2 linked regions of the Oryctolagus cuniculus genome follow. The main gene of each other region encodes a partner of the protein of the gene in region 2 in a complex. Links are inferred from orthologs where the notes say so. Each region holds a gene or a part of one and is shown on either strand. Other genes may lie near its edges.

Region 1 (4,448 bases), on a different chromosome or scaffold from region 2:
CCAAGCACCTGGGCCATCCTCCACTGCACTCCCTGGCCATAGCAGAGAGCTGGCCTGGAAGAGGGGCAACCGGGACAGAATCCGGCGCCCCAACCGGGACTAGAACCCGGTGTGCCGGCGCCGCAAGGTGGAGGATTAGCCTATTGAGCCACGGCGCCGGCCCTAAGAAGAGTGTTTCAAGAAACAGGGAATTGACTAAATGAAATGTTCAATGGCATTCGCTGATGATAACGTACTGAATTTAAAAATAAATAAATAAATAATGAATCCCTTCAAACCAAGGATGACTTCACCTCCTAGTACTGAACCCACTGGATTAGATTTCACCCATTTTGGACTAGAACATCTGAACTCTGCTGGCCATAAACCCCCTATCAGCCAGAGCAGTGATTCCCAAAGTGTGGTCCCCAGACAGCAACATCAACATCACCCAGACACTTATTAGAAATGCAAATCTGGGGGTCCCACCCCCCAAAATTCACTTTCTCAATCTGACACTGGTGCATGGCCCTGCAATCTGCGTTTTTAACAAGGCCCCTGGTGATTCTGATGCTTAGCTAAAGTTTGAGAACCACTGTGGCGGACATTGCAAAGACAGCACTTAGCACTTATGCTAAACACATTTTTGACTCACCACTAACACATTTTGCAAAGTTGTTGGAGCCTGAGTAAGTTTTGTCCATGCCCCATATTTATTGTGACAATACATCTTGATTTTGATATCTTTGCCCTACAACCAGCCAAGTACCTACCATTTCTCCCTCTGTTGGAGACACTGTTTTCATCTTTGTAATTTCTGCCTGTGCACAACATCTACGTGTTCACGGCCTGCACTACGTCATGGCTTCTCTTTGGGCGCGTTCTCAGCCTCTCCTCCTTATAGCTACTGGCCAACGCTGTAGATGTGAGTGGAAATATCTGAGAGACACATACTGCCAGTGAAAGTGCAAGTCGGGGCAATTTAGGAGGGTAATTTACCATCGCCTACCCCAGCAACGATAAACACACAGCCTTTGACCCGATGATTCCACTTGTAGGTATTTATCCTAGGGCTACCCTTGCACGTGTGCACGAAGAAGTGGGGTCTCTGTCCCCTACCCCAGTCTTCTAGAAGACAGGTCATTTAGAGGCCTGCTCACGCTCAGAGGTCGGGTCAACTGGAGGCCCTTCTGCTCCCTCAGGCAAAGGTCGGGTCACCTATTCTTGGGGACTCCTCCCGGTCAGGGGCCCAGCCCACCCACTTCCCTTCACACTTCGGTCAGCTGGGAAGCCCCAACAGCATTGGCGTCTGGTATGCCCGCCTCGACACCGGCCCAAACCAGCTGCAACTCGTTTTCCTTCTCTCTCGCCCGCGTCTCTTCTAAGGAAGGGAGGATGGGCGGCCCCGCAGAACACAGGGCCCTCGGCCCCGACCCGGCCGCCGGCTGCGCGCCGCGCGCCACCCGCCGCCGGCCACCGGTGGGCGGGGCGGGGCTGGTGGGCGGGGGCTCGGGGCGGGAAGGGGCGGGGCCTGCGGGGTGATGGCCCTGGTTGTCGCCGCCGCCGCCGCCGCCGCTGCTGCCACCGCCCTCTGGGTCGCCGGCCGGCCGCCCGCGTGCTGGCTCGGCTGGGGCCCGCAGCCATGGAGGACTTCATCGTGATCTCGGACGACAGCGGCTCCGAGAGCTACGGAGGAGCCACTTCAGGCCGGACGCGGAGGCTCCGCCGGGCCCTGTCCCGGACCCCCGGCGCGCTGCCGCGCCGGACTGTGGTGAGTGAGCCAGGCGCGGTTTGCCGAGCCCGGCCGCGGGCCCCGAGGGTCGCTTCGGCTCGGACTGTGCCTCTTGAGACCCTGCCCGGGGCCCGCCGCCTGCCCCTGGCGCCTCACAGCTGCAGCGCTTCCCGCCTTGCCGCCTTCCCAGCCTCTCGGGCCTCGAGGAGCGTGGCGGGGGCAGGCCTCCGGAGCTCAGCGCTCAAGCCCGAGCGGCCTGAGGCTGGAGAGTGGACGGCGGCCGAGTCCCTGGACGGCGGCCTGGTGAGGCGATCGGTGGTCCTCGGCCCGGCGTCGGACGCCCCCGGCGCTTGGACTACGGGGGCTGGGGGCTGGGCCGCTGCCGCTACCGCTACCGCTACCCAGACTTCGAGGCGGGGACGTGGGGGCGCGTAATTGTTTGGCTTGTGGTGGGCACAGATGTGCGCAGCGAGGTAAGAGGAGCCCAGGCCAGGCGGGAGGGAAGCATGGGCCTGGGCCAGATGATGGCTGCGCTCCAGGGCCTGGCTGCTCAGTTAGGGGCCCGGCCTCGGAGTTGTGCAGGAGAGCGATTCATTTCACTTAGCAGGCATGTGCAGGGTGCCAAGCCTGCGGGAATAGGGAAGGCAACATCTTGCCCCATTTCTTTTTCCTTCTAGTCCCTTCGTTTTTGTCAGGTGCATAAAATTGTCTTTGCCTTTCCAGACTCCTTCCCAGACACTTACTGAACCCCTACTAAGAGCCAGATGCTCTAGGGGCTGGGGAACAATGGAGAGAGCACAGCACCCACACACCACAGCACCTATCCAGGAAATGATCGATCCTACAAGTGGGTCCTGCGAACAAGCTTCCTCTGAGAAGACCATCAACAGTCTCCCCAGCCACACCCCAGAAATAATTGTCAAGCTGATGCTATGTGTGCAGATCTTCAGTTTAAGGAAAACACGGTGCTTCGTGTGCAAATGTCCATCCTAGATAAGCGCCCTAGCTTCTGCTCCCTCCCATTCCCTTTCCAGTCAGTTTGCAGCCCCTAAGCCTCCACTGTGCAGTCGGTCAGTGTCCCAAGTACAGTGCTAAGTGCTAGGTGATCCCCGAGCAATGAATGGTGAGCAGAACGTGTTAACGCACGGTGCTGTGTTGCCATGGTCCAAGTAAGAGGGATTCTCGCAATATCTCAGTAAAAATTTAGTTGAATTGTACCCAATTCATTGTACTTGTCTGATGAGGTGGGCACATGAGATTTTCAAGGTAGAAACGACCTGCCTTCATGAATGAATGGATGTATCTAGCGCCACAGCAAGTTACGCGGGACACAGCATGCATAATAAATGTTGGATGAAAGTACGACTGAAGGAATGGAGGGGCAAGAGAGAGAGAGAGAGGAGCACAGCAGATAGATGGTTCCTGGCGCAGGCAACACTAAACTCCGTTCAGACCAACTGGATTTAAAATGCTATTGGAAAATACGGGAGGTGGGTGGGGCCAGCTCAGAGGAGTGGCGCTCTCCAGGAAAGTCCGCACTGGGAGATGTTTGGCAGTCATCCCAACAGGAAAGCTATTGAAGGCCAAGTACTGACTGAGGTCATCAAGCAACAGTTTAGAGAGGGAGAGAGTGGGAGTCACCGCAGGGTAACAACTGCTCTTTCTCCAGGTTCCTCCTCCCTGTTGCCTGTTGTCTCAGTCCCCCTTTCTACCCGCTTAACCAGGTGTTTTTTTCCCTCATTGATCCAGCTTCCATAAGTGCACAGTGGTGATCCCTGTCCCAGGCTGTTGTGTCCCACACACACACACGCGCACGCGCACACACACACGGATATGAATGTATTCTCTCTCTGTCGCCGTCCCCTAAGGTTGCCCAAGGTAACATTTTGATCTTGAGCCTTTTGAGTTGAATAGAAATGAAGGGCAGGTTCCAGAGAGCAGGACTTCATTTCAGTCTTGCTTCTCTGGATATTGGCGGGTGCTTCAAAAAGCTCATGGTAGAAAGAATTAAAAGGCAAATTTATTTTGGTGCAGAAAAATTTTGGGAATTTCATTCATAAAAGTTGTCTTCAAAAAGTTCTTGGAAGAGTGTGCTTGGATTTCAAAGACGTTTCATTCCAAATAAACTTATCTTTTAATGCCCTTTTCCATGAACTTTTTGAAGTCCATCTCTATGAAAATGCCAACCTTGTTTCTCCTTTTATTTTTCTTGCAAATTAGATAAAGGTGGTGGGATAACCATGATAAAGATCGAAGACATTGAGAGACTTGCAAGGTTATAAAAGCCTACAGTCTTTTTCTAACTTTTCCTGAAGGCTCTGAGGTCAGCAAGACCTCTGTTAAAATCAAGGTCCCCCACAGAGCAGCTGGGTGAGCTTTGGCAGATTCTATCACGTCTCTGTTTTTGAGCTTGAGAATATTAGTATCTACGTACCAAGATTTTTAAGAGGCTTTTATATTTTTAAAATTTTGTATTTATTTGAAAAGCAGAGAGCCAGAGACACAGATCTTCTGATCACTGGTTCGCTCCCCAGTGTCTGCAACAGCCAGAGTTGGGCCAGGCTGAAGACAGGAGCCTGGAACTCAATTGGAGTCTCCCATGTGAGCATCAGGAATCCATGTACTTGAGCCATCACCTGCTGCACCCCCAGGATGGACATTAGCAGGAAGCTGGAATCAGAAGCAGAGCCAGGACTTGAACCAGGCACTCTGATATGGGATGCAAACAACATCTTTT
Region 2 (3,810 bases):
GAAGGAAGGAGGAGGATTGAGGCAGGCAGTGGGGGAAGTATGGTTATCTTAGAACTGTACCTAAGAAATACATGAAATCTCTTCTCTTCATATTAATAAAAAAAACTTTCAAAATAGAAAAAAGCCTGGAATAGAAACTCCATGCATTTTTTTCTACTTTTCATTTCTTATGATACAGTTCTCTGATATCATTAATATTTTTAAAAATAAGATTTCTGGAGCAAATATTTACCATCATAAAGGATTCTCTTATACCATGAATTATCTTCCTCTATTGTATGCTTTTCATACATTCAGAATTTTATTAAAGTGGAACACTCTCACAACCTGGGAATAACTTGTCATTCATAATCTTCTTTGAATATGGGAGGAGGCTAATTCCAACTGAGCATCATCATAGTACTTGCTGATGTAGCAGCTAGTCAAAAAGTCCCTCTCCATAGCTTCCTAGCTCTTCTAGGATGTACTGCATTTAACCCTAAATTGGATGATACAATACTTCTATATTAATGATGTCGTTTGCCTAAAGGGACAAAGTACCTAGAGTAATACCAGGACTCTACATATAAAATCAATATCATCTATATTTTTAAAAGTTACACTTAAAAATAAAAATTAAGATATTCAAGTGGATTTAAGTAGAAAATATAAATAGAAAAAAGAGAAACAGTTGGATTTACACACACACACACACACACACATATGAACGAATGGGGAAATATTAGTATACAATAAAATCCCTGAAAATGAATATTGGTACCCCTAGAAATAAAACAAAATTTAGGGAATGTAAGCATTTGAAGATCCTTTCTAAAACTAACTGTAACAGTGATTTACTGGTGTGATGAAGTGCCTCAGACACATATAACTTTATTGACTATCCTGCATACTATCTGTATTAACATTTCCTTTAAATGCATTCAGACTCCTTTTGTATATTCTAATCCACTGAAATCACGGGTTTGATATATTAATTTTCTCCTAGGCATATGCAAGTAAAATTACATATAAAAACTTGCTTTTGACTGGGAAATACAGTAGCAGGCAACTATAACCCTCCAAACATTTCTCTTACCCGAAATAGCCACTTTAACACAGGTACAGGACACTGGACATAATGATAAGCAGAGGTGAGGAAGCCTTGTGTTGTCAAAAAAATCTGATCTGTTTTTCCTGATCTGAAAAAATAAAGTGAAATCAATGACTATTACTTTCATGGCAAAGCATTTCTACTACCACCACATCTGACACAATCAAGACAATAAAAAGCGAATCATCCTGTGTAGGTGGATCCCACACCAATATAGACAGGTTACTCACAAAACAAATTCAACTGATGGCATAAAGCTGATGCGATCTATTATTTCAGCTTCACGCCTGTCTAGTAGGCAACGCTACATTTGTTGGCAGTGTTGAAAGAGCCTATAAAATCTTAGGACCTCCTCTGCTTTTGCTAGCTTGCAGAACGCTGTTTCGTAAAACTCAGCACCAGAACTGATATGATCTCTCTAGCTCTAAGATATCAAGTACCTAGAGAAATCAGACTAGCTAGGTAGAGATTACTTATCCATACTAACATCTGGTTTGTGGTTGAGATTACTTGTCTATACTAACATCTAATTTTGCTTTTTTTTTTTTAAACTTTATTTACTTATTTGAAAGGCAGAGTTACAGAGAGGCAGAGGCAGGCCGGTGCTGTGGCTCACTAGGCTAATCCTCCACCTGCAGCACCGGCACTCCGGGTTCTAGTCCCAGTTGGAGCGCCAGTTCTGTCCTGGTTGCTCCTCTTCCAGTCCAGCTCTCTGCTGTGGCCTGGGAAGGCAGTGGAGGATGGCCCAAGTGCTTGGGCCCTGCACCTACATGGGAGACCAAGAGGAAACACCTGGCTCCTGGCTTCGGATCGGCGTGGCACGCCAGCTATAACGGCCATTTGGGGGGTGAACCAATGGAAGGATAGACCTTTCTCTCTGTCTCGGTCTCTCTCTCACTAACTCTGTCAAAACAAAAACAAAAACAAAACAAACAAAAAACAGAGAGGCAGAGGCAGAGAGAATCTTCCATCCACTGGTTCACACCCCAGATGGCTAACAGCTGGAGCAGGGCTGTCTCTTCCTCTCACTGTCTGTAACTCTGCCTCTCAAAATAAATAAATAAAATCTTACATAAAAAAAAAAAAAAGAATGACAGAGAAAAAGAATAGTGAAACCAACATACTGGCCCTAGACTTTATACCTCTTACCCTTCTTTAACTTAAGAAAGAAATAAACTCTTGTTTAAGCTCCTTTTACTCTGACAGTCACTGCTATTTATGGATCTTAATCCTAACTAATAAAAGCATGTCAACTTTCCTATCCTGCTTCCTATAATTAAGTAAAATATCATAAAGGGCAAAAAAGGATTAGGAAACCGGAAAATTACATTGGTCAGAAGTCTTTTAAAATAATTTTTATAGAGAAAAAGATATAATGTTAATTTCTACTTACTTAAGAATAAGCTTTTCTACAGCACTTTGTCCGATAAAACCAGAGTCTCTTAAATCCAAGGTATACTGATTGAAAATTTTTCCAGAATTAAGGAAATTAAATATTTCTTCACCTGGATGATGATCAGGAATAGCATCAATTGTAACTGAAAATTTCTTTAGAAATTCCCTGAAACATAAAACATGTTACTTGAATACCAAATAGTTATACTGCACATGGTTTTGTACTTAAAAGTTGGGTGCAAAGAAAACTTTACGTCCAATGTTAATCCCAGGTTAGACGACCAGCCGGAGAAAAAGTATGCTTTGCTGCTCCCAATTTTTGTCTCTTATGAGAAGGAACAATAATCAGTACAAAAGAAAAGGCGTAACTTGCCTCTAACATTTGCCTTTTAATACCATCACAGACGATTAGAAACCCAGTAAAGATTCATGAAGGAAATAATCATCAAAGGCCTATTTATTTTACAAAAAAACAAAAATTATATTTTATTTTTTTTGACAGGCAGAGTGGACAGTGAGAGAGAGAGAGAGAGAGACAGAGAGAAAGGTCTTCCTTTACCGTTGGTTCACCCTCCAATGGCCGCCACGGCTGGTGCGCTGCGGCCGGCGCACCGCACTGATCCGATGGCAGGAGCCAGGTACTTATCCTGGTCTCCCATGGGGTGCAGGGCCCAAGTACTTGGGTCATCCTCCACTGCACTCCCTGGCCACAGCAGAGAGCTGGCCTGGAAGAGAGGCAACTGGGACAGAATCCGGTGCCCCAACCGGTACTAGAACGCGGTGTGCTGGCGCTGCAAGGCGGAGGATTAGCCTAGTGAGCCACGGTGCCGGCCAAAAAACAAAAACTGTAAAATGACATACATACATTATAAAAAATACCATACCTGTGTTCTTCCAAGAGGCCATCTTCATCATCTGTACTATCTTGATCTCCGATTCTGATTGGGGATTTAATGCCTCGGCCCTGCCTTATATCTTCTTGTAGCTGCTTCTGCAGTTCATCTAGCCTGAGGATTAAAAGAATGCTATAATAAATAATTCATCCTAAAAATTAAAAAAAAACTTAGTAAGTTAAATCATGTCTCCCCAATACATCATGACATATAATATAATATACCATTTTCAGTAAAACATGAAAAGTCTGTTTCTTTTTTAAAGATTTATTTTATTTATTTGAAAGTCAGAGTTACACAGAGAGAGAAGGAGAGGCAGAGAGAGAGAGAGAGAGAGAGAGAGAGAATCTTCCATCTGCTGGTTCACTCCCCAGATGGCCGCAAAGGCCAGAGCTGGGCCGATGCGAAGCCAGGAGCCAGGAGCTTCCTCCG

The links.
Region 1: the proteins of SLF2 (region 2) and SIMC1 are in contact, whole or in part, in a cryo-EM structure (PDB 7T5P), measured with the Homo sapiens proteins. The link is inferred for Oryctolagus cuniculus from reciprocal best matches to the Homo sapiens genes SLF2 and SIMC1. Residues at the interface, in NP_060591.3 of Homo sapiens: His738, Val772, Leu775, Lys778, Asp783, Phe786, Gln790, Gly791, Phe792, Thr794, Ser795, Ala796, Tyr797, His798, Tyr799, Cys820, Ile821, Gln825, Ser828, Met831, Glu832, Ile835, Arg836, Asp838, Thr839, Ser841, Asp842, Ser843, Pro847, Lys919; in NP_001295125.1 of Homo sapiens: Tyr426, Arg428, Leu431, Lys435, Leu438, Pro440, Val442, His443, His444, Leu445, Phe447, Gln448, Arg470, Arg471, Phe490, Asp493, Pro497, Val521, Asp522, Lys525, Glu526, Tyr528, Met529, Met532, Lys533, Gln536, Leu537, Arg571, Asn658, Gln661.

The regions. Positions count from the first base shown.
Region 1 is NC_091437.1:62,263,469-62,267,916, forward strand, and holds the start of SIMC1 (SUMO-interacting motif-containing protein 1), read left to right. Parts: upstream 1-1,488; 5' UTR 1,489-1,621; coding exon 1,622-1,750; intron 1,751-4,448.
Region 2 is NC_091446.1:28,940,676-28,944,485, forward strand, and holds part of SLF2 (SMC5-SMC6 complex localization factor protein 2), read right to left. Parts: intron 3,493-3,810; coding exon 3,370-3,492; intron 2,652-3,369; coding exon 2,484-2,651; intron 1,179-2,483; coding exon 1,076-1,178; intron 1-1,075. UniProt on the Homo sapiens protein: Plays a role in the DNA damage response (DDR) pathway by regulating postreplication repair of UV-damaged DNA and genomic stability maintenance.